4 linked regions of the Saccharomyces cerevisiae S288C genome follow. The gene in region 3 interacts genetically with the main gene of each other region. Each region holds a gene or a part of one and is shown on either strand. Other genes may lie near its edges. The genes, in order: STP1, PDB1, UTR1 and SPE1.

What was found.
Region 1: mutations in UTR1 (region 3) and STP1 together harm fitness more than expected from each alone (negative genetic interaction), as found in Saccharomyces cerevisiae (2 studies listed by BioGRID).
Region 2: mutations in UTR1 (region 3) and PDB1 together harm fitness less than expected from each alone (positive genetic interaction), as found in Saccharomyces cerevisiae (3 studies listed by BioGRID).
Region 4: mutations in UTR1 (region 3) and SPE1 together harm fitness more than expected from each alone (negative genetic interaction), as found in Saccharomyces cerevisiae (2 studies listed by BioGRID).

Annotation. Positions count from the first base shown.
Region 1 is NC_001136.10:1,383,943-1,391,650, reverse strand, and holds STP1 (Stp1p), read right to left. Parts: upstream 4,836-7,708; coding exon 3,276-4,835; downstream 1-3,275. Other genes in the region: SPP41 (Spp41p), read right to left, coding at 1-2,779; mitochondrial 54S ribosomal protein mL40 MRPL28, read right to left, coding at 5,135-5,578; CMI8 (Cmi8p), read left to right, coding at 5,885-6,127; MFA1 (mating pheromone a), read right to left, coding at 6,365-6,475; TFIIH/NER complex subunit TFB3, read right to left, coding at 6,875-7,708. UniProt on the Saccharomyces cerevisiae protein: Transcription factor involved in the regulation of gene expression in response to extracellular amino acid levels.
Region 2 is NC_001134.8:662,551-670,086, forward strand, and holds PDB1 (pyruvate dehydrogenase (acetyl-transferring) subunit E1 beta), read right to left. Parts: upstream 3,704-7,536; coding exon 2,603-3,703; downstream 1-2,602. Other genes in the region: YBR219C (uncharacterized protein), read right to left, coding at 1-31, 453-753; YBR220C (uncharacterized protein), read right to left, coding at 445-2,127; YBR221W-A (uncharacterized protein), read left to right, coding at 3,988-4,092; PCS60 (Pcs60p), read right to left, coding at 4,170-5,801; TDP1 (tyrosyl-DNA phosphodiesterase 1), read right to left, coding at 6,113-7,536. UniProt on the Saccharomyces cerevisiae protein: The pyruvate dehydrogenase complex catalyzes the overall conversion of pyruvate to acetyl-CoA and CO(2).
Region 3 is NC_001142.9:523,966-531,663, forward strand, and holds UTR1 (NADH/NAD(+) kinase), read right to left. Parts: upstream 4,512-7,698; coding exon 2,919-4,511; downstream 1-2,918. Other genes in the region: ANB1 (translation elongation factor eIF-5A), read right to left, coding at 943-1,416; CYC1 (cytochrome c), read left to right, coding at 2,370-2,699; ISY1 (Isy1p), read left to right, coding at 4,732-5,439; OSM1 (fumarate reductase), read left to right, coding at 5,896-7,401. UniProt on the Saccharomyces cerevisiae protein: Specifically phosphorylates NAD in the presence of ATP, dATP, or CTP as phosphoryl donors.
Region 4 is NC_001143.9:92,489-100,029, reverse strand, and holds SPE1 (ornithine decarboxylase SPE1), read right to left. Parts: upstream 3,274-7,541; coding exon 1,873-3,273; downstream 1-1,872. Other genes in the region: LOT5 (Lot5p), read right to left, coding at 389-1,309; YKL183C-A (uncharacterized protein), read left to right, coding at 1,423-1,635; DNA-binding transcription repressor ASH1, read right to left, coding at 3,765-5,531; MTR2 (Mtr2p), read left to right, coding at 6,732-7,286. UniProt on the Saccharomyces cerevisiae protein: Catalyzes the first and rate-limiting step of polyamine biosynthesis that converts ornithine into putrescine, which is the precursor for the polyamines, spermidine and spermine.

The sequences.
Region 1 (7,708 bases), on a different chromosome or scaffold from region 3:
AAATAGGAATCATTTTCAGCGGATTCTTCATTCGAGACGCAGTTGTTGCCAGTTCTGTGGTAGTTCCCTTAGAATGAGCGGCTTGCATACTGTTTTTCCTTGCTTGTAAAGCTGCCCTAATAACTGTAGACTTGGCATGTTGAATAATGGTTGCCAGCCGTTTCCTTGCCTCCTCAGGTGTGGCGCCAGCAGCTGTTTGCGATTTTGCAGCAGCTTTTAATGTATTTATTATCGGTAGTAATATGGCCGGTAAAATTCTGTTCCTAGTACTTGCCGTACCTTCTTTGGAGACACGAAAAGAATTATTGGTTCTCTTTCTATACTTTTTGATATTTGGTATTTTCTTTCTTCTAGCTACGGGTAGTGCAAATGGTGGTTGAGACGGTATAGTCCATGGGGGATGGAAAGGAATTTTTTCTTTATGCACTACAGTTTTTAGGTGTGCATCGTAATTTTGAGATGCAGATGAATCTGATAGGGGCCATTCGTGATCTTCACTCTTTGGTCTCGAAAGAATCCTGCGGACACCGTCAGGCGATTTATGTAATCCAATAGTGGATAGCGAACCTTCAATGTCATTCAGACGATGTCTTGCACTTGGCTGAACATTACCCTTTACAAAGTTGAAGAGAGGAATTTTCTTCAAAGCAGATGAAGGTACCTTCATTTTCTTTTCCTTTTTCTTTCTTTCCTTTTTCACCTTCCTCGGTTTTTCAGCTTCCTGTGATCGTTTCAGTAGCTCTTCCGGAGTCCATCTTCTGTATGGTTTTTTTGGTTTACCGCTTTTAGTTAGTCTTAAATCTGGGGGATAAGGTGGACCTCGTTCAACAATTTTTTTCAGTTCCTCTTGTTCTTCAGCCAACCTCTGCTTCTCTAGTTTTTTTTTATGTCTCCTTTCCTCTCTGGCAGTTTGGCGTTCAAGTTTCTCTTTCTCCTTTAGTTCTTTGTTTTTAGCCCATCTTTTCTTTCTAGCCACAGATGCAGCCTCGTTGGCAATAGAGACGTATTTTTTGCGTAACTTCTTTTCTAAAGATACTTCTGTCTTGGAAGGTTTCTTCGGTTTTGAAGGTACTTCAGTCAATTCTACACTTGAGGCATCTCTAGATGCCTTTTTGGAAGCTCTCCTAGATATAGCTGTTTTCTTTTCAGATTTGCTCGAACTTTTAGGCACCGATTTCTTTTCCATCCTAGAAAGGTTATCATGCGGCAGTAAATCGGAAACACTCAGATCGCCTAAACCACGATTAAAGTCTTCAACAATGTTCTCATCAAATTCATCGTCGTTTTGATTTTGAAAAACCATAGCCATTGCGTTTTGCATGATTTGATTCAAGTCAAGCGAGTCATCATTAGCTGTGCTTGCATCCTCAGTAGTATATTGACTTTGTACAGGGGAAGTAAAATCACTTTCGCTTTCTAATTTATTATCCTGTGTGGCAGTATGCGTTGATGTTTCTTTTAATGAAGTGTTAACCACTTGGTTAACCATATCGGCTAATATTCTGGAAAATTCATCATCTTCGTAAGCTTCTTGAGATTTATTACTTTCCTTTACAGTTTTCTTCTTTTTCTTTTTCTTGGAGGTAGATTCAGATGCAGGTGATTTATTTGCTGTAGATGCAGCCTTGGATGTCTTACTTTTTGTTTTTTTCTTCTCTTGAGGAGGCCTCTTTTTCGGTTTAAAAGCCTGTAACATAGCCAATGGAATATCGTCTGCAGTCGGTTTTCGTGGTGGTTCAACTGCTTTTCTAGAAGATACAGGCCCAATCGACTGTTCTTGTGAAGGCTCCTCGGTTGGCGCAGAGCTTAGCAGCTCGTTTTCAAATGCTTTTAGTGTCGCTTCCACTAAAGCTTGCGCTTCCACATCTTCGTTGTTTGTATTATCAGTATGGGAGTTATCTTGAATATCAACTGTTTGTTTGGCAGTGTCTATTGCAGCATTGTCATTTTCATGAATCAGATTTTCTAGTATATTACTTAAATCAAGGGTATTTTCATTATTAGTAGGTTTACTTTGCTTTTCTTTATTACGGTCTTTGGCATGCTTTTTGGAATGGCTCGAAGATTTACTCTTCTTTGAGGATTTATCCTTTGATGATTCTCTGTTCTTGGATTTATCTTTTTTCTTTTTCTTTGAAGATTTTTTGCTGCTCAACTTATCATTCGGGGCAGCATGCTCATGTTTTTCCGGCTCTTTCTCTTCCTCCTCATTTGTGTTTAATTCTTGTAGAGACTCTAGGATAGCCATCCTCAAATTTTCATCATCTTGGTCGAGAGCGTCATCAGTACGCTGAGAGGGATGGTGCTGACTAGTGCTTACACGCCTTTCTGTATTCTCCCGCAAGGGCTCTCCGTCTGATTTTAATATTTCCTGCTGTAAGATATGAGCCCATTCTTGCTGTTGTTCTTTTTCGTGATTATCATCCGCTGTATCCGATGTTACATGTTCTGATCCATTTTCCAGATGATTTTCCGGTTTGGCTTGCTCATCGTCTATATTTTGAACCGCATTTGCAACGACAGATACTAGCTCATCTTCTTCGTCGACAAAATGTGGTATTTCGATATTCTGGTCAGGAGAATTATGCATATGCTGGCTGTCATCTGGATGCTTTGGTTCTATATTTTCACTGGTAGGATATATTTTTTCAAAATCATCTCCTTCCTGTTCTCCTCCTTGCACTTCTCCTTCCTCTTGTCCCTCTTGGTTATGTGAGCTTAGTAAGTTCCCCACAAGTTCATTAAAATTTATCTCTCCATCATCTTCATCATAAGCCATGGCAGAATATGATATATGGTTAACACCTTACTGTTTTTTTTTTACCAAAAAAAAAATAAATGATAGAGGTGTATAAAGCGTTCTAAAAATTACTTTCCTCTTACACTCTACTAGTGTCAATAAATGTGCATTTATTTGTTTACTACTTATTTTTCATTGTTTTCAAAATTTGACCTTTATTTGTTATAGCATCATCGGTAATCAATCATGAAAAAGAAATCACAAACGTCAAAAGTGATAATATCTACGAATCGACTCTATGCGCTGAAGATCAATAATAAAATATTGGTGTTGCAATCACTTGGTTTATTTAACATAGTAGTATGAAAATTAATTAGTCATGCTAAAAGTTTTTATATAGTATACAGCAGTACATTTATAACCTTTTATTTGTTGTTACCTGATTTTTAATATTGTCTCCATTTATTAACTCAATAATTTTTACCCATCGGCTTTCCAATATGATACCCTTATTTTTATCCCGTGTTATATTTAATCAAAATTGTGACCCAAAGTTGTCATTGTAAAAATTCAAATATTGTTGTGTCTCTCTCATGTGATTTTCGCTGAGATATTCTGGATTTAGTTGTGATTGTAAGATTTGTGAGATTTTTGTGTTATCATACTGCGTGCAATCACGGTTGCTTTGTGTGGATATGATGGGATATGACATTGCGTCTTCGCTCAAATCATATGAAGATTGTTCAATATCGAGTGGCAGGAACGAAGGATTATCTTGTGCCTGCTGCTGTTGATTTGTGAAGCTGTTTATGTCAATCAAAAAATTCTTCATTTGCTTGCCATGGAACATAACTTCAGCGGAAGATTCCGATGAACTAGAAGGGACGGGCTCGAGTAGATGAGTATCAAAAGGTGAAAAAATTGTGGCGGATGAGATTTCATCAGGTGCCACTTCTTGATTGTTTTGTGTAGCTACCTCTGGTGTGGTTACCGTCGATCCAGATACCTGTTGCTGCTTTTTCTTGATATATTTTCTCTTTCTCTTGGGTATGTCGACTTTAAAGTTTTCCGAGTTTAACATTAATTTGTTGTTTCCGTACTTGGATATAATATCATTGCCCGAACTGTTATTAGCCACTATGGTCATAGCCTCTACGGCATCCTTGTTGAAAAGTACTTTAGGTTCTACAACACTTTGCGAAGTGGATATGAATCTAGAATGACCATTAGATGTCTTGATCTTCCTTAATTTTCCAGATCTTTTTTCATTTTTCTTGGTATACCCCTGCGGTAAAGCTTTACAGTCCCCAGACTCAATGTGATTCTCAACGAAATTTTCAATGGTGGAAAAGTATTCACCACATTGAGCGCAATGGCCGGACGACTTGTTACGGTCTTGTGGTTTAACACCTTTGGGGTACAGCACGTGCCTTGCCTTCAAATGAGTTTTATAAGTATCGCGTCTGCTAAAACCACCCGAATTGTGGCATCTAAGATCAGGAGGAGTGGCACTGTTAAAAAATGGACAGTGATACGCCTTTTCGATGGCGTGCTTCTTAATATGTCTCGTTAGATATCCTCTAATCCTGAAAGTAGCGTCACAGTAGTGACAAATGAACTCCTCTTCGCCGTTGTTCAAGACCTTGGTGGAATGTTCTGGGGTGGAGCCTGATGGACTTAATGGAGAGCTTGTGACACCAGTAGACATTTTGATAGGGGCGCCTGTATCTTGTTCTGGCCTTGATCCGAGCAGTGACTTGGCATTTACTTCTGATTTGATACGATTCTCAGGAGATAGTGTGATCGATATTGGCGTGTTCAAATCGCTGACATCCATGGAGCAAGGGATCACAGAGCAGCCACCATTTAAAGAACGGTCTATATTATTTGATTCGGGAAACAAACTTGTGGTAGTCTTTTCTTCATCTGCTGCATCTTTGCCTTCCTCCTTTGTCGCATTTTCACAAGAATAATGATGACTTAGATCTGGCTTGGATATAATAACTCCGCTGACGAGCTCTCTGAAGAACGCGTATATCTTGCCTGGAATGGCCCTAATATGTTTCTGCGGAAACAGTAGCGTGGTAGAGGGCATTTTTGAACGAATGTGGTATAGCCGGTATAGTTTGCCTTTTCCTTTAGTCTGTAATGTAAATCTACTTTTAATCAATGAGTCCTTGCAGTTTATACAAGAGTCAGCTTGCTTTTTTTTTCGCTTGCAGGGATGGGAAAAAGCAGTAAAAAAAACGTCAATAGTGATACAGTTCATGTCATAATTACCACATGCCCTTTATATGTCTATGTACATATAATTATATAAGTCCATATATACGTGGCATTCTATTGATCATCAGTTATTTACAGCAGGAGACAGTCAAGCGTTCGCTCACGCTATCATTTTCGGAAGTTATAATGCCATAACGTATTTGGGGGGAAGTCAGTGGGCACCTTCATTTCCATCGGGAATCGCTTGCCCTTCTCGGAAGCATTGGCAGCCTCAAACAGACGAGGGCTGAGTTCTTGTAGAAGGTTCATAGATCTCTCAATGCTCTTATATTGTAATTCCAACTGTAAATTTCTGCGCTCCCGTTGTTGCTGCTGATAAATTGACCAACACTTCTCAATGGTCTGATGTTTAATCAGGTCTTCACGCGCCAGCTTCAGCAACTTGGGCTGCTTTCTGCTTGCAGACATCACACTCAACTGCGTGACGACCCTTTGTGCCAAAGGTGACAGTGAGCTCTTGCTCTTTGTTCTCTTATTTCTGATGAAGACCGTGGTCCCAGATACCTGTTCTAGAACGGCTCTGTGTGGTTTTTTGAATGTTTGTGCCAGCATGTGTTATCTTCGTTGTGTAGCGTAGGTCTTCGTCAGTTCAGTATCCTAATCTGCAAATATCTGGAGGTATATTAACTTATGCTTCCCTCCATACAGGCAGGCCCCAGTCTGCTTCATCTTGTTTCTCGCTGGGAACTTTTGTCGCCCCATACGATAGTCACTGTATACGTAATTCTCAGCCGTGCATATTTCACAATAAAGACAGTCTAAAGGGACAAAGGCAAAGCGTCAATGGACAGACGACAATTAACTGGATATTATTTTATGTGTTGAGTATTCAAAGCACATAAACAAAAACAGATTATGATGGATAGCGGAAAGAGTGATATAAATAAGCATGCATACAAGGAGACAGCGACCCCGCTGCCCGTAGATCCGCCCTCTTACGAAGAAACAATGAAGCAAGATAAGGAGGAGGTCGAAGCCGATGAAACGACATCTTCCGCACACAGAGACAGCTTTATGAGGCCTGTTTACACTCACCATCCGCATCCAAGATCCCACAAGGGATATCCGGGTGCGAAGACCCTTACATATACTTCACGGTAGGTGGTAAGCGGTATATGTACATATACATATATATATATATATATATATATATGAGCGTGTGCATGGATGTACAACGATAACAAAAGCAGGTACAGGGTATCAAAATATTTTATATAATATAGTTACTTAGGATATTTATTATTAGGTCTAAAAAGAAATATTACGAACAAACATGATATATTGGTGTAGCGGAAAAGGAAGATAAAGGAGGGAGAACAACGTTTTTGTACGCAGAAACTAAGCAATAACACATGCTGGGTCCCAGAAGACACCTTTGATAATATAGTTGTCCTTCTTTTCACTGCTGGTCTTTTCTTTTGGAGCGGCGGTAGCGGTAGATGGTTGCATTTCTATTCGATGGCTTTGTACTTATTTTGGTTTTATCCGAGAAACAGTTACAGATCCCTCTCATTAATTCATTTCTGGCGGTTTATATATGAAGACTCTATTTCATTTTTTTACTTGATTTTCAGCAACCACTGAATCTGTATCTTTATCTCTACCATTTTAGGTTTCTTAACTGTTTTTTCTGATTACTGGGTTTCATTTAACATGTAAATTTCCTTTTTGGGTAATTACACACTCGTTTGTAACAAGAACAAAGAATAAAGGTATGGGCCAACCGTAGCAGTAGGTGCCTTTTTTCTGAACACTGAAACAGATCGTGAATGCATGTATATGCGTACATAGAAAATAAAAAGTAGTTGATTACATAGCTTATGCCACGTTGCACACTATCCTGATGTTTTAAAGCTCCTCGGATATAACACATCCTAAGCCCATAAATGCCTCTGTCAACACCCTTTCGTACGCATAATTAGTGTTGAACCCAGACGCAATAAATTCTTTCCTGTGCTCAAGATCTTTGATGAATGGGTCATTGTATACTGAACCTTTCAACGTAAACCTTGGGTGTGCTTCTCTATCACCGTTAAACGGCGTGAACGGTACAGCATCTTTGAGTCTCGAATTCTGTACGTTCACATTTGAATTGAAATATGGATTGTTTTTCAGAACTCTATTTAGTTCTTCCAATTTCCTTCTAGCGGACGATTTTTTCAATTTAACCGTATTTTTAACGCCTTCGATTGTTTCATTGATATCCTGGGTGGTCGTACTCAACCGGTTGACGATTTCTTTCTTTGTCCACTCTTTGTTCATTCTTTCCTCCTCTTCGATTTGTCTTTCCAACAGTCGCTTCTTCAATTTCATCTCCTTTTCGAATTTTTGTCTCTGTTCGAAACTTTCTATCTCTGTTCTGCTTCTCTCCAAGTTATTCATAATCAGTTGCTTGTTTAATTCCTCGTAGGTGCGTAGTTTCTCCTCGGTCTTAGCCACATCGATCCCGTGATCTAGTTTGTATATAATGTCTTCCACCTCTTCCAAATATTTGTTATATTCCACAAGGTCACCATTGAAGTCATCGATAGTTTTGTTGAACACATTGAACACTCTCTTCCTGATGTCAACTTCTTTCTCAACTTCCACATCATCGAATATTTGGGTCTTGAACTTATTCTTTCTAAGAATCTTGTCACACCCTTTATATGGACACTGGGCAGGACCGAGACTAAATATTCG
Region 2 (7,536 bases), on a different chromosome or scaffold from region 3:
ACTGCCAAAATTGTAAAAAAAAAATGAAAAACTATTAGAAAATTAATTGCGAAAAAAAAAAGGTTAGTCATATGTGCCTTTGCGGCGTCTTCCGCAGGAAGGACCCCTCTCTGCCAATCACAGAAGAGCTGGCTGTGCCTGTGCGGTACGCTATCAGCAGCTGCGTCGGGTAAGGGACACGTCGTTAGTGACAATCGTGGTTAGTTTTCGTACAGAAAGATGACCTTAATTGATAATTAAAGTATAGAAATGTCGTATAGTATATTTTTCCCTTGCATGGAAAAAACTGGGATAATGTGATGATTCTCATTAACAGATTTACACTGGTATTGATACTCATTTTGTTTCTGCTTCCTGTAGTACATAAAAAGATCTTGTAAATATTACGATACTCGTTAAAATTTTCTTGAACGTAATGTCGTACAATTCTTGTTTGAGGGGTCGTTACGTACATCTCCAGGAACTGATTGGCAGACTTTGTAAATGGAGGATTTTCCTTTTCAAATATCCAAAATATAGGAAAAGTCCGACTACAATACATATGAGATTGGTGATGTAATAGCCGTCACGCAGGATGGTCACGGTGCCATTCAAAAGCTCGGTGCACGCTTGCATGCTGCCGCCGTGAGTTACGTATACTTTATTTGTGCCAGGAATAGTGCACTGATACACGGTGAAGTAGTTGATCATGGACATAATGATTAACCGCGGCCATGTCCCACCGAAGTTGCTGAGGGTATTTAACAATGTCATATATGTGCCACCCAGCACGGGGTCTGCAACTCTTGTATGGAAGGCCGATATTCCAATGAACTGGACAGTATTCATGAAGGAACCTAAGAGGTGCTGGAATATCACGAGACAAAAATAACCCGTGGATATTTCACCATCCTTGGGGAATTGCTTCACCACGTAACTTCCCAAGACCGCGGCTGCCAGACGGCCCAAAAAGCCCCACAACCATGGTGTTAAAACGCCGGCATCCCCAACTAAGAACTTGATGACCTTGTTGGTGCCCGTGCTGTTTCTTAATCTTCTATTGTCACGAATCATGGGGTCCTTGTCGGAGCTCCATTTAACAACATAGTACCCAAATATGATTTCGAACGGCAGGTCTATGAGTACTGTCACAGCCAAGTCTTCTCTTTTGAAGCCTTGCTCTAGTAGTTTCAGGTTTGTGGCGGCTTCGTTGCATTGAAAGGCAAATTTCGAAATCATGTGAATGAAGGCTAGGCTTCTTACGGACTTCAATTTCAACACTTTTATAAAGCAGCGGTAAATGTACTTTATACTGCTTGTATTCTGAGTTGACACCACATCACCGTCGTCATACTCAATACTTATCGGCTTTGACCCTCCGTCACTTGTATTTATGGGCTCCACTTTGGGCAAATACTCTACGTAGGGTTTTTCCTTGGTGCAAAAGATGATATATATGGTTATTACAATGTAAAGCATGCCCGAGAATTTCATGTACCCACCAAGACTAATGAACCCGTGATCCAGTGGGATGTTTCTGAAATACTTATTGGCGAAATCAGAGGAATTCAACGACAGGAAAATGGTAAATGACATAAAATAACCAATATTCAAACCTATTGTTTGCGCGGTAGATGCATATGATAGGGATTCTTTGGACAAAATCGTCAACGCCCAACCATCAACTGCGATGTCTTGAGTGGCACACAGAAAAACTAACAGGCCAAACCACCACGTCAAATTTTTTATACTGACACTGTGTAAAGTGCCATTACCGCGATTATGGAACGCATCGTCGACACCATCGAAGATTATGCCTTGTGATATGCACCACCCTAATGCCCATAGCACAAATCCACTAACAAATTGTACTGGAATGATCCATGATCTTCTTCTACCGATGCGCTTGTTGTACAGTGAGTCTACTATTGGTGACCATATGATCTTTAAAGAATATGGATATGTAGCCATAGAGAAAATTCCCAGTGATGTAAACGAGGTCTCCTTTGCTAAAGATTTCAGTAGAAACGGTACGGTACCGAAGGCCAATCCTACAGGTATGCCTTGAGCCAAATATAACATAATTAAAAGATAAAATTGCGGCAAATCATGCTTGGCTAGTGACCCGCTCTTTCGCTTAGGTTCCATGCCTACTTTTGTTTTATCCCCCTATAACTATGGTATATTATACTGCCTCACCAAACGTTTAGGTCTTGCTTCTGCTTCCCACAGTAGCTTACGCATTATAGCCGATTTATTTTTCACTTATTTTCGCATGCCAGAGTATCTTTATTTTCTTTCTTTCATTCAGCCTGTCGTCGAAAAGAAAAAAAAGAAAATAAATATGTGCGTATTCTAACCATGAAACAGGAACTCATTCAATGTGCACAGTACTTATCTCATTCAATTTTGTAAAAACAAAATATATACATTGTATGTATGTGTGTATTTGCAGTTATATATCTACTAATAACCAGTACGCCATACATGTCTTGATTAGCAAAATATTATTTATGTTTTTCTCATTAGTACTATTTCCGCGAAGAGGGTAGAAAGTGTAGGGTACAGGGAAAAAAGTTCCCTATCTCCTTCTTTCTCTCCTTCCTATTGGATTGAAGTTTATTTATTCAATTGACAAGACTTCTTTGACAGCTTTAACGATGGTTGGAGTATCAGGGAAAGCGAAATCTTCTAATTCTTTAGCGTAAGGTGTTGGAACATCGGCACCAGTAACTCTTTGGATTGGAGCATCCAAGTAATCAAAGGCTTCAGACTCCATAACTTGGGCGACAATTTCAGCACCAACACCAAATGATGGGAAAGTGGATTCAACAGTAATCAAGTGGTTTGTCTTCTTGACAGTTTTGATGATAGCTTCAGTATCTAAAGGTCTAATAGAACGCAAGTTGATAACTTCTGCAGAGACACCATATTTCTTTTGTAGAATTTCAGCGGCTTCCAAAGAAAACTGAACGTTTCTTGTGTACGTAACAATGGAAATATCGGTACCTTCTCTTTCGATCTTAGCCTTGTATGGCAAGGTGAACTCAGGGGATAAAGCTTCTTCTGAGATTTCAAAAGATTCACCGTACAACAATTCGTTCTCTAAAAATACAACAGGGTTTGGATCTCTGATGGCGGCCTTTAACAAACCCCTAGCATCTTCAGCAGAATAAGGGACAAGGACCTTTAACCCTGGAATGGAACCGTACCAAGGAGAAAAGTCCTGTGAATGTTGAGCACCAACACCCACTGCAGCACCATTAGGACCTCTGAAGACCATTTGACATTTTTGAGTACCACCAGACATGTAGTGAGTCTTTGCAGCGGAATTGACAACATGATCGATAGCTTGCATAGAGAAATTGAACGACATAAACTCTACAATTGGCTTCAAACCCTTCAAAGCGGCACCAACGGCCAAACCTGTGAACCCGTATTCGGTAATAGGTGTGTCAACCACACGACGTTCACCGAACCTGTCCAATAAACCCTTTGACACCTTATAAGCCCCGTTATATTGTGCAACTTCTTCACCAATAAGGAAGACATCATCATCACGGTCCAATTCTTCCGCCATGGCACTATTCAAGGCCTCTCTGACGGTCATCGTCTTTGTTGATGAGAATCTCAATGCTGCTGCTGCTGCAGAGGGTCTTACAAAAGAAGTTGGGGCACGACGTGCAACATTTCTGGCCAATGATGTTGGCAGTCTGGAAAACATGTTGAACAAAATTATTGCAAAAGTAAAAGAACTTACTAAACTGCGATCGATTATCAATGAACAAACACAGGAACTGTTATGAGGGAGGCGGAATTTAACGTCCGAGTGTGTAAATGATACTAAATTAGTCTAACAAAAGGAAGAAACTTGACAGAGATAATATCAAGAGTCGCTGTTGCAATCGTTAACCTGTATATGTAGATACACCTCTTTTTATTGCAAACGTGCAAACGCATGACTTTTAATGACGGAGAACTTCTTAGTTGAAGACTCGTCTCTTTTGCATGTTCTCCCACTTCGAAGTCTCGGAAAACAGACCCCGGAAACAGCCGCGACGAAAAAGAATCAGCTTAGGCATGATAAATACTGTGGTTTCATTAGATAGATAAAATACATAAGTATTGGCGTATATAAACGGGTGCCAGATAGAAGCTTTCAGAGAGCATAAAATTGTACAGGATACTGCCTACAACTTACTCTTATTTCTGCTGCTCTTAGCAAAAGTTTCTGCGATAACTCTTCTCTGGATTTTACCTGTAGCGGTTTTTGGTAGCTTATCAACAAAGTACACCTTGGTTGGAATTTTGAAAGAGGCTAGGTGCTTCTTTAAGAAGTTCACCAGTTCTTCGTAGGTCATTTTTTCTCCCTTCTTCAAAACAATGGCGGCTTGAACTACTTGGCCGTACATATCGTCGGGAACACCAAATGCAACGGCTTCATCGATCTTTGGATGCGATAGCATAATGCCGTCGAGCTCAATGGGTGAAATCTTTTCACCACCCCTGTTGATAAGCTCTTTGATTCTGCCTGTAAGGACCAAAAACCCCTCAGGGTCGAAATAACCTTGGTCACCGGTTCTGAAATAGTTCTCTCTCTTGGTGAAGTTCTCCTTGTTAGCTTTTGGATTATTAGCATACCCCAAAGTGACGTTTTCGCCTCTGATGGAAACTTCGCCGACTTTGCCCGGGGGCAAGACATTGTCATTGTCATCTAGAATGACGACGGTGACTCCTTGTGGCTGGCCCACAGTACCAGGCTTTCTCTTTCCTGGAGGCAGATTGTTTGAGGTCATTTGATGTGATGCTTCGGTCATCGCATAGGCCTCCAAGACAGGTGCATTGAATTCCTTCTCCAGCTTATGGAACGTTGCTGGAGCCAAAGCAGAAGAACACGATCTGATGAATCTAATGTGTGGGAAAGGGTTTGGTTTGGGCATGTTCAGCATAATCATGCTTATTGTGGGAACGCAACTGAACCAATTACAGTTGTACTTAACAAATTGGTCCCAGAATAACTTTGGATGGAATCCATCGGGAACCACAACAGAACCCTGAGTTCTAAAAGTGGAAAGTAAAACACCAATTAACCCATGGACGTGGAAAAGAGGCATCACGACATAAGATCTGTCCAAGGGCGTTAGCTTGTAAGTGTTAGCAATGTTCAACGTGCTTCTCACAATGTTCAAATGTAACAAAGGCACCGTTTTTGGAGTGGAGGTGGTACCACTGGTATGCAAAATCAGGGCAACGTCACTGGAACGGGCAAACCCAGGGAATTTAACGGGATTTGTGTTGACAAATTTGGCGTTGTTCAAAGACCGGTAAATAACCCTTTTGTAGTTGTCCTCTGGAGAGTATATATCATACTCTACCCTAAACCTGGTCGCATCGAAGGCCAGCTCTACGATAAAACATCCAAACGTGGAGGCAGATTTTAGAATTTCAGAACTCTGTAACTTTGTGGTACCCTTTGGGACGCAAATCGCCTTAGATTTCAGGTCATTCAAATAAAAATTGAACTCCTTTTCCTTATAATTGGGATTCAAGGGCGCGCCAATTTTAGCGTCCATAGTAGCACCGAGGAAAGCGACGATAAATTCCAGCCCATTACGCATGGATATCGCCACTGTATCTTGTCTGAAAACAGCTCCGTACAATGGAGAATTAGGATTTGTGAACATGGTCTGGAAGTGACCCACCATGTGGGATAGATCCCTGTAGGTCACCTGAGTGTCCGTTTCAGGAACAATAACGGCGACATTATCGGATACGCTAAAAGTATCGTTGAACGAAGCAGTAACAGTAGCGGCACTTGTCATTGTAGCAAAAATGTGCGTGAAGCGTCTAACCTCTTGCAGCACAGTGGGAGTAAATTTCAAGAAGGAGCATCTATTAAAAAGAGCTTTTAATCATACCATCTCTATTTATATACAGTTAATCTTGAAAAATAAAAAAAGACCGAATAAAGGACTCGGAAGCTTTAGCTCGGAATAGTTAAAGACGCTTTCGGCCCGAGAAAAAAATATTCTGAGCACCAAAATCCAATCGCCTGAAGTTTATCAAGTAAATTTGCCATTCCTGGCCCCATATAGTGATGCCTAAGTGGACAGCAACATCGCGCTCTTACTTGTTAGTCGTTCTCATGACGAGCAAGGCAAAAGCACTCGTCCTCAGCTAAGTCGTATGGTATGACTGGCAGCGTGAATGGCACGGCCACATGGGTGGGATTACCCGCGCAGCCTCTACGGTCACGTGTAAAAGTACGGCACGTGACCTTCCTGGTATTTGCTAACCTGCGACTATGGTAAAGCACTCCTGCTTCATAATTGCGTGGTTTTCTTGAAACGGTGCCCCATGCTGTTTGGCTGAGGTTTGCCGAAGTATAAAGGCACCATTCTAGTTCTTTAAATACCTGCGATGCATCACAGGGCCCTGCGGAGTTTGTTGCACAATGCATGTAAAACTTAGAGTGCGCGGGCGTCGTCCCTCGTCTTCTAGTAACCATAGCAGGGTCTTGCTTGTAAAATACTTTGAACTTGTTTCGCAGCATTTCGTAGTAGCTCTTTTTCTGAAGATATTGAAAATGAAACCACCCGGAACTGGACCACTTTAAGGGACTGGTGACAAACTCTTGTTCGGTGGGGAAAATAATGTACGGCTTGATTTTTCTCTGCGAATATTCATTAATCAATGAATTCGTTGGCAGTATTTCTGCTTTCTTCCTCCCAGCGGTGTCCTTTGCTGGAGGGGACATGATTCCGGTAAACAGAGGAATCATTAGATGTGTCCATAAGTTTTCGTCTCGCGCTCTTGATAGAGATGTCCCTATGGATGAAGTTTGACATAGATAATGTTTTGCAGTATCACTAGCACTTGTGCCAGCAGAAAGTTTTTCTAGTTTATTGTAAAACGACAGTAAACCCGACGACTGAAATTTGGAGGGCGTAGAATATACAAATTCTAATTCGCTCAAAGGAGCAAAGTTAACTTCCTCTACGCTTTTTGTAATCAATTCGTCAATGTCTTTCAGGTGGTACGAATTGAGGTATTCTATCAAGCTTCTCTTAAACGGTACTGGTAGCCCTTCTTTACCTATTTTCAAAAGGGGACTGCACCAACACACCTGTTGAGGCAGGTTAGTCTCCATTGACGTAAAATTGTTAGATGGCAAGAATATTTTGCATTCGCCATTATCGTAAAAGTTTATGATCAGCTTCGTATGGTGGGAAGCGAATGGGGGCATCGTTATTTCAATAAGTTTGACCTTTTTTAATATTACTGCCAGTGTCGCGTCCATAGCACGGGCTTCGATAGGCATAATAGTACCCTTTTGGCCGACGATGGTTATGTTCTCTACGTTCTGGTGGAATTGTCTCAACAAGAAATCAAGTTCGTATTGGAAACTGAAGAGTATGCTTCTTTTTAGTGTCTCAGTGCCAAAGATATCTTTCAATGTAATCATATCCTCTACTTCTCCCATAAAATCCTCTCTTTCATAGAAGTCCGATTTCATTAGTTTAAAAACGGCACCTTTTGCCGTATCGTTTGTTTCTA
Region 3 (7,698 bases):
GACTGTGCATTGTGTATGTACGAAAAGAAAGGGAAATAAAAAATAACGACAACTGCAGGACTCGAACCTGCGCGGGCAAAGCCCAAAAGATTTCTAATCTTTCGCCTTAACCACTCGGCCAAGTTGCCTTTAATCTCTTGAGTTTGTTTAAGGACAACACTGTCCACCTGGCATGGGAATATTACCATTATTCCAGATTCGGGCTTGTTATTAGGACTTTTTACCAGCTTGATTTACCGGTCATTACTTATCCTACACATCATACATCACAACTACACTTGGTGAAGAAATCACAGAGCCTTGGATTTGTAACAATTATATGTTTACGCAATTTATCTTGGGAAAGCAGGGCCTCATTTGTGGACATAGCACGGTCTGTCACCCTCGTCGTGCAAAAAATATTTTGACTTCTACTCTTTTTGAAGTTTCGTTGATCGGGTCCCTTCCAAGGAAAAGTCGAATGCTGTCACTGCGCATATAAAGGCGAGAACGATAGTGACTGTGATATTAAGTTATTGTCATCATATAAGTAATTTTTTCTCTGATATCTGTAGCCCTAGTTTTTAATATTTTCGTAAAATGCTCAAAAAAATTTCTGTTTAAATTCTTCTGGGGTATATACACATGTTCCCGTCAGCTAAATTAAAAAGAAGAAGGAACCGAAAGAAGGCAAATTATAAAGTAATCATCCTCGGCATATTGAGGGGAAAATATCCGTCAAAAAAAAAAGTTCTGCACGTCGTCATAAGTGACTATGGTATCAAACACCAATTAACACGAACGTAGCGATAATGAAGGCAACTTCGTAGCTGAAACAGAACGAAGTTAGTTAGGATGAATAATTATGATTATGATTATTATAATATTATATAAAATGTATAAATAAGATTTCTAGATCAAAAAAACATCGCGTATTTTGTAAGCTATAGAAATCTAAAATATCTAATCAGATCTTGGAGCTTCCTTGAAGGAGATGGCAGCTTCTTCACCCATGGCAGAAATGATAGTGACCATCAAATCCTTACCTTCATCGAAAGCAGCTTGCATGCTGTCACCCAATTCACCTTCTGGTGCCTTGACATCGTCTTTGGTTTCACCGTCCATGGTCATCAAGGACAAGTAGCCATCATCAATATCCAACAATTGGTATTCGCTTCTCTTGACAAATGGAACTTCCAAGTTGTGAGTGGATGGAGACAAATCTTCCAACTTCTTACCAGTGAAGATATCAAGGGTAACCAAATGGACCTTGGCGTGACCGTGCTTACCGGTCTTGGAAGTGGACATGTCGACAATCTTACATGGTCTACCTTTGATGACAACGAAACCATTCTTTCTCAAGGCAGAACATTGCATTGGGTAGGTGGCGGAGGCACCAGCGTCAGCATTTTCAAAGGTGTGTTCTTCGTCAGACATGTTTTAGTGTGTGAATGAAATAGGTGTATGTTTTCTTTTTGCTAGACAATAATTAGGAACAAGGTAAGGGAACTAAAGTGTAGAATAAGATTAAAAAAGAAGAACAAGTTGAAAAGGCAAGTTGAAATTTCAAGAAAAAAGTCAATTGAAGTACAGTAAATTGACCTGAATATATCTGAGTTCCGACAACAATGAGTTTACCAAAGAGAACAATGGAATAGGAAACTTTGAACGAAGAAAGGAAAGCAGGAAAGGAAAAAATTTTTAGGCTCGAGAACAATAGGGCGAAAAAACAGGCAACGAACGAACAATGGAAAAACGAAAAAAAAAAAAAAAAACACAGAAAAGAATGCAGAAAGATGTCAACTGAAAAAAAAAAAGGTGAACACAGGAAAAAAAATAAAAAAAAAAAAAAAAAAAGGAGGACGAAACAAAAAAGTGAAAAAAAATGAAAATTTTTTTGGAAAACCAAGAAATGAATTATATTTCCGTGTGAGACGACATCGTCGAATATGATTCAGGGTAACAGTATTGATGTAATCAATTTCCTACCTGAATCTAAAATTCCCGGGAGCAAGATCAAGATGTTTTCACCGATCTTTCCGGTCTCTTTGGCCGGGGTTTACGGACGATGGCAGAAGACCAAAGCGCCAGTTCATTTGGCGAGCGTTGGTTGGTGGATCAAGCCCACGCGTAGGCAATCCTCGAGCAGATCCGCCAGGCGTGTATATATAGCGTGGATGGCCAGGCAACTTTAGTGCTGACACATACAGGCATATATATATGTGTGCGACGACACATGATCATATGGCATGCATGTGCTCTGTATGTATATAAAACTCTTGTTTTCTTCTTTTCTCTAAATATTCTTTCCTTATACATTAGGACCTTTGCAGCATAAATTACTATACTTCTATAGACACACAAACACAAATACACACACTAAATTAATAATGACTGAATTCAAGGCCGGTTCTGCTAAGAAAGGTGCTACACTTTTCAAGACTAGATGTCTACAATGCCACACCGTGGAAAAGGGTGGCCCACATAAGGTTGGTCCAAACTTGCATGGTATCTTTGGCAGACACTCTGGTCAAGCTGAAGGGTATTCGTACACAGATGCCAATATCAAGAAAAACGTGTTGTGGGACGAAAATAACATGTCAGAGTACTTGACTAACCCAAAGAAATATATTCCTGGTACCAAGATGGCCTTTGGTGGGTTGAAGAAGGAAAAAGACAGAAACGACTTAATTACCTACTTGAAAAAAGCCTGTGAGTAAACAGGCCCCTTTTCCTTTGTCGATATCATGTAATTAGTTATGTCACGCTTACATTCACGCCCTCCTCCCACATCCGCTCTAACCGAAAAGGAAGGAGTTAGACAACCTGAAGTCTAGGTCCCTATTTATTTTTTTTAATAGTTATGTTAGTATTAAGAACGTTATTTATATTTCAAATTTTTCTTTTTTTTCTGTACAAACGCGTGTACGCATGTAACATTATACTGAAAACCTTGCTTGAGAAGGTTTTGGGACGCTCGAAGGCTTTAATTTGCAAGCTTCGCAGTTTACACTCTCATCGTCGCTCTCATCATCGCTTCCGTTGTTGTTTTCCTTAGTAGCGTCTGCTTCCAGAGAGTATTTATCTCTTATTACCTCTAAAGGTTCTGCTTGATTTCTGACTTTGTTCGCCTCATGTGCATATTTTTCTTGGTTCTTTTGGGACAAAATATGCGTAAAGGACTTTTGTTGTTCCCTCACATTCCAGTTTAGTTGTCGACTGATACTGTTAATAAACTCATCGGGCGAGGCTTCCACGGTTGGAAAAGCATATGGGCTGGCGCATATGGTTATAAAATCACCTTTTTGCAATTCAATTCTATCTTTCCCATCAAAAGCCGCCCATGCTGGAGCCCTTGACTTCATCGAGACTTTCACTTTTAAATTTATACTTTCTGGTAAGATGATGGGTCTGAAACTCAATGCATGTGGACAAATGGGTGTTAAAGCGATTGCATTGACGGTTGGGCATACCAATGACCCACCTGCACTCAAAGAATAGGCCGTGGACCCAGTCGGAGTAGCAGCAATCAGTCCGTCCGCCTGCGCAACGGTCATTAATGAGCCGTCACCATACAATTCTAACATGGATAGAAAAGGACTTGGACCACGATCGATGGTCACTTCGTTCAAAATGTGGTGTGTGCTTAGTTTTTCCACCACACATATTTTCTTCCCCGTGTTTGGGTCTACTTCAGGGCGGTGTCTACGATAAATTGTGCACTCCAACCTCAACCGTAAATTTGTCTTGATTTTATGATTCATAATCCGAGGTAAATCCTCCCTGAAATGTTCAAACTTAAAATTTGTTAAAAATCCTAGAGACCCTAATGAAAACGACATAACGGGTGGTACATGTCTCTGAAAAATGGAACTTACAAAAAGAACAGTACCGTCGCCACCCAAAGTCACTACCAAATCGAAGAAAACATCATGTTCCCTGATGAAATCCTTTGTCCAATACTTGATCCTTGATTCTCTACATTTACTATCTTCACATAACTCGCCAGCGGCAAATTTTTTGCTGTTTTTCAATTCGGAATCCACATAAACAGTCACACGTGGAAAATGTACCAAAACCCATTCTACCAACTCTCTTGTTAAGAAATACAGTGAGACATCGTTGAGTTTCGTAACAATCATCAAATTTTCCACATCCAGTTCCACTTTGGTATTAGATATATCTTTACTCAACATTCTTACACCATACGCCGTGGAGGCATACTGAAAGTGTGTATTACTACTCTTAGAACTTCCTCTTGTTCCGTTAATGCTCGTACCACCGCCACTGTTTGCATTGCCGTTCACGAGAGATGAATCTTTATTCAACAGGGAGCTTCTGCGCGAGCTGCTTTCACTTGATATTTTCCTCAACATTTCTTTGGCGTTGTCGATATCCTGAGTTCTATCAATTTGCTCATTGTTCATCATGGCCTTCTTCATCAAGTTATTATTGTTGTTATGATGATCATTTCGACCATCTTCCTCATTTACCCATTTATCTACGCCATTATTCATGTCATTCTCCTTCATCTCAAGAGCTTTTACTCTACTTATTTAGGGAGCCTATTGTATTTTTTTTTGGCTTACGATCACGATGTCAATGATCATTTGCCCTATTATACCTTTTTCTCCGTTCTCTTTGCGTAGTGCGGTGAAATAATTTCAGGATGCATGAAAGAGCAAATAAAAGTGACACACCGTTATATCGCAAGGCGCACCACATCAGTAATCAGATACCTGTGCATTCAAAATGAGTAGAAATGTAGATAAGGCCAACTCAGTTCTGGTACGATTTCAAGAGCAGCAAGCAGAGTCGGCAGGTGGATACAAGGATTATTCACGTTACCAGAGGCCCAGGAACGTGTCTAAGGTAAAATCCATAAAAGAGGCCAACGAATGGAAGCGACAAGTAAGTAAAGAGATAAAACAAAAAAGCACAAGAATATATGATCCGTCTTTAAATGAAATGCAGATTGCGGAACTTAACGACGAACTTAATAATCTTTTCAAAGAATGGAAGAGATGGCAGTGGCACATTGACCATACACTTATGGAAAAAAAAACCAAGAGGAAAAGGTTAGAAGACAGTCATGTGCTGATGAATTCAGGAAAGCTGATAAATGGTAAGAGATATTTTGGAAGAGCCCTGGAATTGCCTGAAGTAAAAGAATGGCTCAAGCAGTCTCAAAGGCAGAATGATGGGGGTTCTATAAACACCAAATGCATACCGAAGGATAGAAATGATTTTTATTACCATGGCAAAGTCACAGCCGCCTTAACCGAATTTGAGGCTAACTGGACATCCATTTTGAAAGCACATTATAATGTGCCTGTGAATGAAGATGAAGAAGAAATGTCAAGGCAGACACAAGAAATCCATGTACCAACTCTGGCAGATATGGAGCATTGGTTAGTGCAAAGAAGAAAAAAGAAACTAATGGATGAACTTAACCTTTAGCTATGGAAAATTATTCAAACATTTAGAAGAGGCACTATTTCGAATGACCATCACAAGCATTATAATCTTCAAACATGTCCGAGCTGCAGATATGAAGTAAAATAGTGATCGGGACTCATTTTTTTTTCTTCTATGATATCATATTGTCCCGTTCGTTATTAAATGTAATTCTTCCACCGTACTAGTTATCGAAGGCAAGATCTCCTTTTTACGCTTAGGTAGATTACATAGATTTCATAATGTACACCAATACAAATGTATCTTATACACTCGTCAAATCTTATATGAATCATGCAGGAGTAGCTCTCGTTTTCTTTTTACGAGCTACTTGAAAAAAAAAAACTAGCGAAAATCCTTTGCTTAGAAATCCAGATTTAAAACAAAACCGCCGAAAAGGGAAAGATTTTATGATAGGAAATACCTTAATAATTCTATATCATCCCGAGTCTTAGGAAAATGATTAGATCTGTGAGAAGGGTTTTCATTTACGTCTCAATATTCGTATTGATAATAGTTTTGAAAAGAACATTAAGTGGCACAGATCAAACGTCAATGAAACAACCAGTGGTGGTCATTGGCTCTGGTTTGGCAGGCTTAACCACAAGTAATCGTCTCATTAGTAAATACAGAATTCCTGTTGTGCTTTTGGATAAGGCGGCTTCTATTGGTGGGAATTCTATAAAGGCTTCTAGTGGTATTAATGGTGCTCACACAGACACTCAACAAAATTTAAAGGTAATGGACACTCCCGAATTGTTTTTGAAAGATACTTTGCATTCGGCTAAAGGCAGAGGGGTTCCATCACTGATGGATAAGTTGACTAAGGAATCCAAGAGTGCTATCAGGTGGTTGCAAACAGAATTCGATTTGAAATTAGACCTCCTTGCGCAATTGGGCGGTCACTCTGTTCCAAGGACCCATAGATCTTCTGGCAAATTACCACCAGGTTTTGAAATCGTGCAAGCGTTATCAAAAAAACTAAAGGATATCTCTTCCAAAGATTCCAATCTCGTGCAGATTATGCTAAACAGTGAAGTAGTGGATATCGAGCTTGATAATCAAGGTCATGTTACTGGTGTAGTATATATGGACGAGAACGGAAACCGTAAAATCATGAAGTCACACCATGTCGTGTTTTGCTCAGGTGGATTTGGTTACTCTAAGGAAATGTTGAAAGAGTACTCACCAAATTTGATTCACTTGCCAACTACTAATGGCAAACAGACTACAGGTGATGGTCAAAAAATCCTTTCAAAGTTGGGTGCCGAATTGATTGATATGGATCAAGTGCAGGTACACCCTACCGGCTTCATTGATCCAAATGACCGTGAAAATAACTGGAAGTTTTTGGCTGCAGAGGCATTGAGGGGTTTAGGCGGCATCTTATTGCATCCCACCACTGGAAGAAGGTTTACAAATGAATTGAGCACCAGAGATACAGTAACCATGGAAATACAGTCTAAATGTCCGAAAAATGATAATAGAGCACTTTTGGTAATGAGCGACAAAGTCTACGAGAACTATACGAATAACATAAACTTTTATATGTCCAAAAACTTAATCAAAAAAGTGTCAATCAACGATCTGATCCGACAATATGACCTACAAACTACAGCTTCTGAACTGGTAACTGAACTGAAGAGCTATTCCGATGTTAATACTAAGGATACGTTTGATAGGCCATTGATTATCAATGCCTTTGATAAAGATATTTCGACTGAATCAACTGTTTATGTTGGGGAAGTTACACCAGTTGTTCATTTCACAATGGGTGGTGTGAAAATTAATGAGAAATCTCAGGTAATTAAGAAAAATTCGGAAAGCGTTCTATCTAATGGGATATTTGCTGCTGGTGAAGTTTCGGGTGGTGTTCATGGAGCCAACAGATTGGGTGGATCTAGTTTGTTAGAGTGTGTTGTCTTTGGAAAGACAGCTGCGGATAACATAGCAAAATTGTACTGAGAATTTATAGGGAAATAAAAGATATTTTTGCAACGTACTTTACATTTCAATAATTAATGCGACATGATAGGATATACTGTTTGCTATTTCTTTCCGTAACGATATACGATTTTTTCTTTTCTTTGGAGTTCCAAATGAAGAATATATCTTGTTGGGAAAAGCTATAGTATTAGGTTTACAGAATATGGTAGAGGTTTCTCCCCGACGATATAGGAATCTACAAGAGAGAGCATGATTCTACACGATAATACTGCAATTTCTTCTTTGCGTTGAAGTGTCACCATTGCCTATCCTTTT
Region 4 (7,541 bases), on a different chromosome or scaffold from region 3:
TCTTTTAACTTGTGCGACGGAAAGATCGCTGTTGCGTAATTATGCTTGGCTGGGCGGCATGTGAAGTTTTTGGCCGTCGTTTGTTGGAGGCCAGGGGAGTAGTGAACCGTGCCTGCACCTCGTGTATCGTGATGCGGAGCAGACGCTGCTATAACCCGGCCTCCGAGGAGCCGTGGGTGCACGGGCATGGAAGGCTGATGCGGACCTTCTACGGGTTTTTTCACATGCTGCCGTTTGCTGAAACATCTTAACTAAGCCTTCGCGCGGCCATACGGGCCCTCAAGACATTCATTACTTGGTATAGAAAGGTATATACGAAGGCAAATAGCCATATTCGTAGAGGACGAGACCGCATAGTACAGCGGGATGTTCCCATAATAGATGTTGTTCATTCATTGTCTCTGGAGTTCTTTCTGCCAGCAAGATTTTGATTTGCGTAGAACTCCATAGACATACTTGCTTCTGGACCACCCCTAGAGACCACGTTGTCCATAACGAGGTCGCCATCCAGATCGTCTGCCAGCCCGTCGTTCTGATACACGGGCGGCCCGTGAAGGGTGTCTCCAAGCCCAGAATACGTGGCGTTGAGATCTTGCGCACCCTCAAACGCCATGCTTGGATCTTGGTATTGTTCCTGGTCTTGATCTTGTACGTCCTCACCGTGCAGGTCCATGCATACGGCTAGTGCTTCGTTACAATTGTTTACCAGGTCATCGCCCCTGTTCACGCCGAAGTTTTCGAAGGTGAAAAGGGTTTCGATTTCGTTGTTATAATGGCGATCGTATATTGAATATTTGGGCCTGATAGTCAATTCCACGCTGCGCACGGTGAAGGCATGTGCTTCTTCGCCGTCGAATTCGCAGGCCTGTGGCGCGAGGCTTTGGTAGAGCATGTCCAACACTTCGTCTCTTTCCAAAGTCAGCAAAATTTCTAATTGAAGCCCTTCCCTACCATCTGGTAGCCGTCTTGATGCATGGTACAAAACGCTGCTGTAGGGAATTTCCAGCCCATATCCCAAGCCATTGAACCAAATGATAATGCAGCTGTTGAGTATAAACAGGTCTGTGCCATACTCACTGGTGTCTTGTGGGTTGGCTTGATTGGACAAATGAGAGCTCGAACAAGGTGTCAGGGAGCCTAGTATCAGGTCCCGACCTCCGCCAAAGAGTATTATGTATTCTTCATTATTCAGTGCAGAAAAGTTGCCGTTGAATCGCGGCTGCGTCTTCTTGAATTGGTTATATGGTATGACGTTTTCGACCGATGGTTTGGTCCTTGCAATTTGGCACTTTGGTTTTTTTTTCATCATTTTTCTTTTTATTTTATGGTTGATGCTTCTTTTGAAATAAATATTCGTCTATCACTGTAGCTATGGTCTATCTTGGCCTGTGTTGAAGTATGGTGAACAATCCGAAGTAATGGATGTATTCAAAGATCTTGCTATACCGTAGTAACGTTCTGTTCATGAACTTTTTCTCTGTTTTTGTATGTACAATTGGTACTTTATTTTTGGTTTTCGCAGATGTCTATGTTCTTGCGTCGGCATTTTTCCAAAGTAAAAAGGAAAAAGAGACAAAGTTTAAGCATTTACACTACCAAAAAAGATCTTGTTTCTTTCTAGCAAATATACACTAAACATAAAAAAAAATTATAAAAAATTGTAAAAAAAATATAAAAAAATACTTTTGTGTACAATGGCGTACAGTGGTGGACAGGAAAAATGCCAGAATTTTCTTGAATCATCATTCTCTGACTCTTAAATAGCGTGTATAACTCGTTCATGAACACTCAAATTCTTAGTGACAATGGTTGCATTCAGCCTTTTCCCACCCCCTCCGTCTCTCTTGCGAAAGTCGTGGTTAAATATATCCTTCAATCGAGTTCAGAGTCTATGTATACTATATCCGCAGTCTGCTCAAAGCCGTTGAATTGAGTAGCCGCCGATGATGTGTAGGCACCCAGGGCAGGAAAATAAAACCAATCACCGACTATAACATCATGCTTCATGTAATACTCTTTGGCAATACAATCCAAACCATCACATGTGGGTCCCCAGATGGAAACTTTATATGGATACTCAGATCTTGTTTTGTTGATAGAGTCGAGGACCGCAGTAGTGGATTCAAAATCGTCGTAATGAAATTCCAAATTATGATAAAGGGTTCTTGGATGGGGCTCTTGATGATCGAATAAAATACAATTCATGTTCCCGTATACACCATCGTTAGTGTAAATCATTGCTTCATTCTCAGACAGTTTTCTCTTCGCAATCACATGAGATGCCAAAGTGAACGCTGTAGCTACAAAGTATCTGCCAGGCTCTGCAATTATATCAACACCACAACCTACAGGGAAAAATTCCTCTAGCGCTAGACGCAAAACAGCAGTTGATTCTTTGAAGGATTCAAATTGAAATCCACCACCTACATCCAAAATCTTCAAAGGGGGCAACCCGTATTCGTTAGCAGCTTTGTCAAATACCGTTCTTGCATCTCTAACGGCTTTGTATAAGCTTGTAAAATCAGAAGCGCCTGAACCGACGTGGAAAGAAACACCAGCCAGGTTTAAACCTAGTTCCTTTATAGCCTTTAATAAAACGTCTACGTTTTCCATTTCACAGCCATATTTGGTGGAAAGTCGACATTGAGCGGTAGAGTCATCGGTAGCGATTCTTAATAACAACTGAGACTCAGGATGAAACTTTTTGATTTTATGCAATTCTTCTACATTGTCAAAAGTAGACTTCATTACATTTTTTGAAGCTGCATATCTAATGAAAGATGCTACTTTACAAGGATTAGCGTAAACAATTCTATCCGGCGAGATGTTCATCGATAATACTCTGTCAATTTCCACTTTGGAAGCGCAATCGAAATTAACGCCCAACTCTGCTAATAATGACAAAACCTTGGTATCAGGATTACATTTGACGGCATAAAATGGCTTAATTCTAGGAAGCTCCTTCACCCAGTTGTTGAATAATCTCTTGACTTCTCCCAAATCGCATATGAAAAACGAGTTCTCCTCACCGGGGTCGCACGTTTCATTATTAATTCTACCAATACGAGCCTTGAGCGCTTGAAATATTTTAGGATGCGCTTGTTCATGCGGTAAAAGTTCCAAATCTTGGTTATTCTTTAGTTCAAGCAAAAGATTGTGCAGCGTCTCGCCATCTTTATAATATTGCTTCTTTTGGGTAACCGTAGAATTAGACAAGTCCACTAAAGTAGTAGTGGAACTAGATAGAGCATTTCCTACTTGAGTACTAGACATAGTAAGTTTGAAATTCAAAGGTTTTGATTACTATGAAAAAGTTGTAGAACAATCAAAAAATCTTACCTACTTAAACTTGAAACAAAAGCCGTGCTGAAACCTGGATGATAAACCAAGGAACGAAAAGTTCTTCTGTCCTTTCTATTAACTACACTATTATGATTGAATTTTAAGCTTATTAGAAGCAGGTTCCGCTATTTCAGTGCAATAAATGCTTTTCATTTTCGATTTCAGAATAAAAATCAGGATGACCAATCTATTGCGCAGGAGAAGTTATTAGAATGATTTCACTTCGAAATGGGCGAAAATATCTGCACGGCGCAGATTAAAATTAATCGGTGAAGAAAACGAAGATGCCGCGGCGTGTCGAATGAAAATGAAAGAAAATGAATTTTTATTTGTAGTTTATTTAGCACAGACAAGGAGAGAAATGTACAATTGTTTCGTGATAATGTCTCTTATTAGTTGAAAGAGATTCAGTTATCCATGTATCAATTCTCTACTGTCTCAGTTATGTAATTACAAAATAAGCAACGGTACCCTTCAATTTCGCAGTTGCGTTCGGGGACGAATTCTTTGTCTATTCCATTGGATTTCATAATGTTTATTTCACCCTTTGTGGGGATCTTACGACATAAATCGTTCAAACATCTTGTATGTGTTTTTTTATATCGAAGACCACAAGAGTTACATAGCTGATCTTGCTTTCTTGGCGACCACGATGGCCTCCAACAGGGCGAATCACTCGAATGACACGACACGCACACTCTTGTGGTGTGACGAGTGGGTGATGAGCCACTGGACCTTCTACTTCCCTTTTTCGTTATGCTTGAATTTGATGATCTTCGAGGGCTTTGAGGGGGAGAGTCGAGAGCAAATCTATGATAATTGGGTGACCTTGGGCTTGGAGTGTATGCCTTGGGACGCACAGGTGAGGATGATCTTGATCTCATCTTGCCACTTTTCGTCGGTGTGGAGGGAGATGGAGATGAAGATGCAGAGACAGAACTGTAACTAGCGTTGTCGAGTTTCATCACCAATTGTCTTGCAGTGTTACCGAAAACATTTGATGCTTGCTTTGAGATTTTGTTCTTAGATGGTTTCCTTACATTAGATTTGGAATTGTTCGATAGAATGTCTCTATTCGCAAGCAATTTTTTTATTTGCAAAGCTTTGAAACTGTTCGTCTTTTTGTGACTGGCATTTGGCATGGGAAATGAATTTCCACGTAATTGTCTTTGATGTTTAACTTCTTGAACCAATTTTTCACTAATAATTGGATTGAATATTGAATCGTTATTGCTGGATTTCCCCTCAAAAAAAGAGGCCTCTACTCCTCTAAGCGTCGTGCGCTCCATGGTTCTATTGGTTGGTGGACTCATCGGCGGTGTGACGGGAGGAGTAATACTCCATGCATTGTTGGAAAGATCTTTAAATTGATCTTTAGCTTCTAGAATCGAAGGAATTAGTTTGGTACGATCAAATGATTCCTTAGACGGGGAATGGAACTTGGACGACCTAGTCGATTCCAATTCCTTGCCGTAATTGAAACTATCATTATTTTGATTATTAGTTAAGTTGGGTATACTTAATGGCTTGAAATGAGCCACTTCTTCGCGTATTTTAACATAGTCTTGATAGTTTGTATCCTTACACCAATGGGTAAGATCAGTTTTCCAATTAGATGTACGTTTTGATGTATCAGGGAAGCGTGCTGCGTTTTCTTGTAAAAGAGGACTGGGTAATAATTGCAGATGCCTTAGTGATGGTAGGCTTTGTTGTGGGCGCTCCGGTCTCTTAGATAAAGAGACGGACGATAGCCTGTCTAACAATGGTAGTCGAGGTTGTGAATTAGAGGAAAAACCTAAGCCAGACCCATAGTTCAATGGATTTGTAAAACTAATCTGAGATAAGCTTGCCTTGTTGAATTCTGGTGAATTGCCTGGTGTTAATGAGGAAATTGGATTGTAATCCATATGATGTGGCGATGCTGGTGCAGTATTTGATTTTTTTCCAAGTATTTCGTTAGCCAAAGATATTGGGGAAAGAATTGGCGACACATTGAGCGAATGAAACGAATACTTCCTAGGACTTGCTGAATTTATATTGTTATCGGTTGTGATATTGTTCCTGCTGATATTACTGGATAAATTGGAAAATGAAGGCAATAAAAGATTGTCATAATAGGAGCTATTTGCATGAGAATCCGGACCAGCAGATAATGCATGCAGTGGTGTTTTGATGTATAAGCTTGACATTTTTTTGCTTTTCCCGTTATGAGAAATGTTTTTTTTAGACTGAAAATAAAAGAATGGATAGTATTAAAATAGTAATGAACGTAATAAGGATAGGACAGGAGCGATAGGAAAAGATAGAATTTTGGAGCTTTTTTTCCCTCTTTTTTTGAGCAGGAGCCAATAGTAGTCGGAAAGATGAGTGTATAGATTTTTCGTATTTTATTTCGAGTAAAAATATCACGCTCTTAGGTTCAATAAAAGAATATACTATTTCTTCAAAATGCTTCTCTAATCTATTTTTTTATTTTCCTTAATAACTGAAATATTATTTTTTGATGTAAAATGAGTGAACAAGAATAAAGGATTTTTGGTATGTTTGCAAGTTCTGTGGAGTTCCATGTATAAGGTATACATATTAGAAAAGCTTTACGATTATATACTAACATCATGTACAAAACAGTTTAATAATGATCTGTATTGCTGGCTCAATCCACGTAAGGAAAATGATCAGCCCAATCCTCAAAAATAAAATGGCCCTTCCAAAATTAGAGACATATCGTAGAAATCAGACGCACGCTTGGCGTCAATATCCTAAAACGGAAAACTAATCAGTTAGATGTGTCTTTTTTAGGTAAAAAAAGGCAACCAACTTTTTGCTGGCTAGCGATGCGACAATAAACGCGCGCAGCGAATAAAAATAAGATGGCGGAGGAGCAGAGACTTCTTTTCTTAGAAGAGGTTTTGTTACCGTATGGGGGTATGATGGTTAGATGGCTGAATAAAAACGTTAATTAAAGGAATACAGAAGAGGAAGCGCCCCGATTTCTTTTCTGTTCCACATGAAAGCAGCCGGTTGGGTGGTAGATCTCTAATGACATCCAAACTACAAAACCGAGATTGGACATATAGCACACTCTGCATTTCTACTTTCCTTTCTCCCTACAGTTTGCTCGATCTGAACCGATGCTTCTTTGATTGGACAAGATGATAGACCATGACTCCCTGTATGTATTGCAGAGATTGCCACTACTAACCAAGAAAAGTTGAACGTGTCGTACGTATAAAACGATTTATGCTTAGGCTTTACTGAAAAAAAAAAAGTAAAAAGAGGATGCGCAAACGCATAGAGCAAGTAACTAACCTGTTTTTATAGTATATACTTGGCCCCACCAGGCTGATCGTCAGGCAAAACGCCAAACTAATAACAGTAATAACAGAAATATGAACACCAATAGTAATACTATGGTAATGAATGACGCAAATCAAGCACAAATAACGGCCACATTTACGAAGAAGATATTAGCGCATTTGGATGATCCGGACTCCAACAAATTGGCCCAATTCGTACAGCTTTTTAATCCAAACAACTGCAGAATAATATTTAATGCTACCCCCTTCGCGCAAGCAACAGTTTTTCTGCAAATGTGGCAAAACCAGGTCGTACAAACACAACATGCCCTAACAGGAGTAGACTATCACGCTATTCCGGGATCCGGCACGTTGATATGCAACGTCAATTGCAAAGTCAGATTCGACGAAAGCGGCAGAGACAAGATGGGGCAAGACGCGACTGTTCCCATTCAACCAAATAACACTGGGAACAGAAATCGACCCAACGATATGAACAAGCCAAGACCTCTATGGGGTCCATATTTTGGCATTTCCCTGCAGCTGATCATCGACGACCGCATATTTAGAAATGATTTTAATGGTGTAATATCGGGGTTTAACTATAACATGGTTTACAAACCCGAGGATTCTCTGCTAAAAATTTAGTGGGAAGATTCCGCTCTACCAGGGAAAAACAAAATTATATAGAAAAGAAGGTAAGTAATAAGTAATACGAAAAAACCCAAAAAAAAAATTCAAATACCCCAACCCTGTGCCCTTTCTATTTTTATGGTTGAAAAGGTTACAGAGGATCCTCTGGAGCGGTGACAACAGTTGACGCAATCATGGTCCCTGGCGGTCCCTAAGGATATCTCGGAGGAACCGAGGCACGGAAACGGCTGCACGGGTACGCCAGATAAG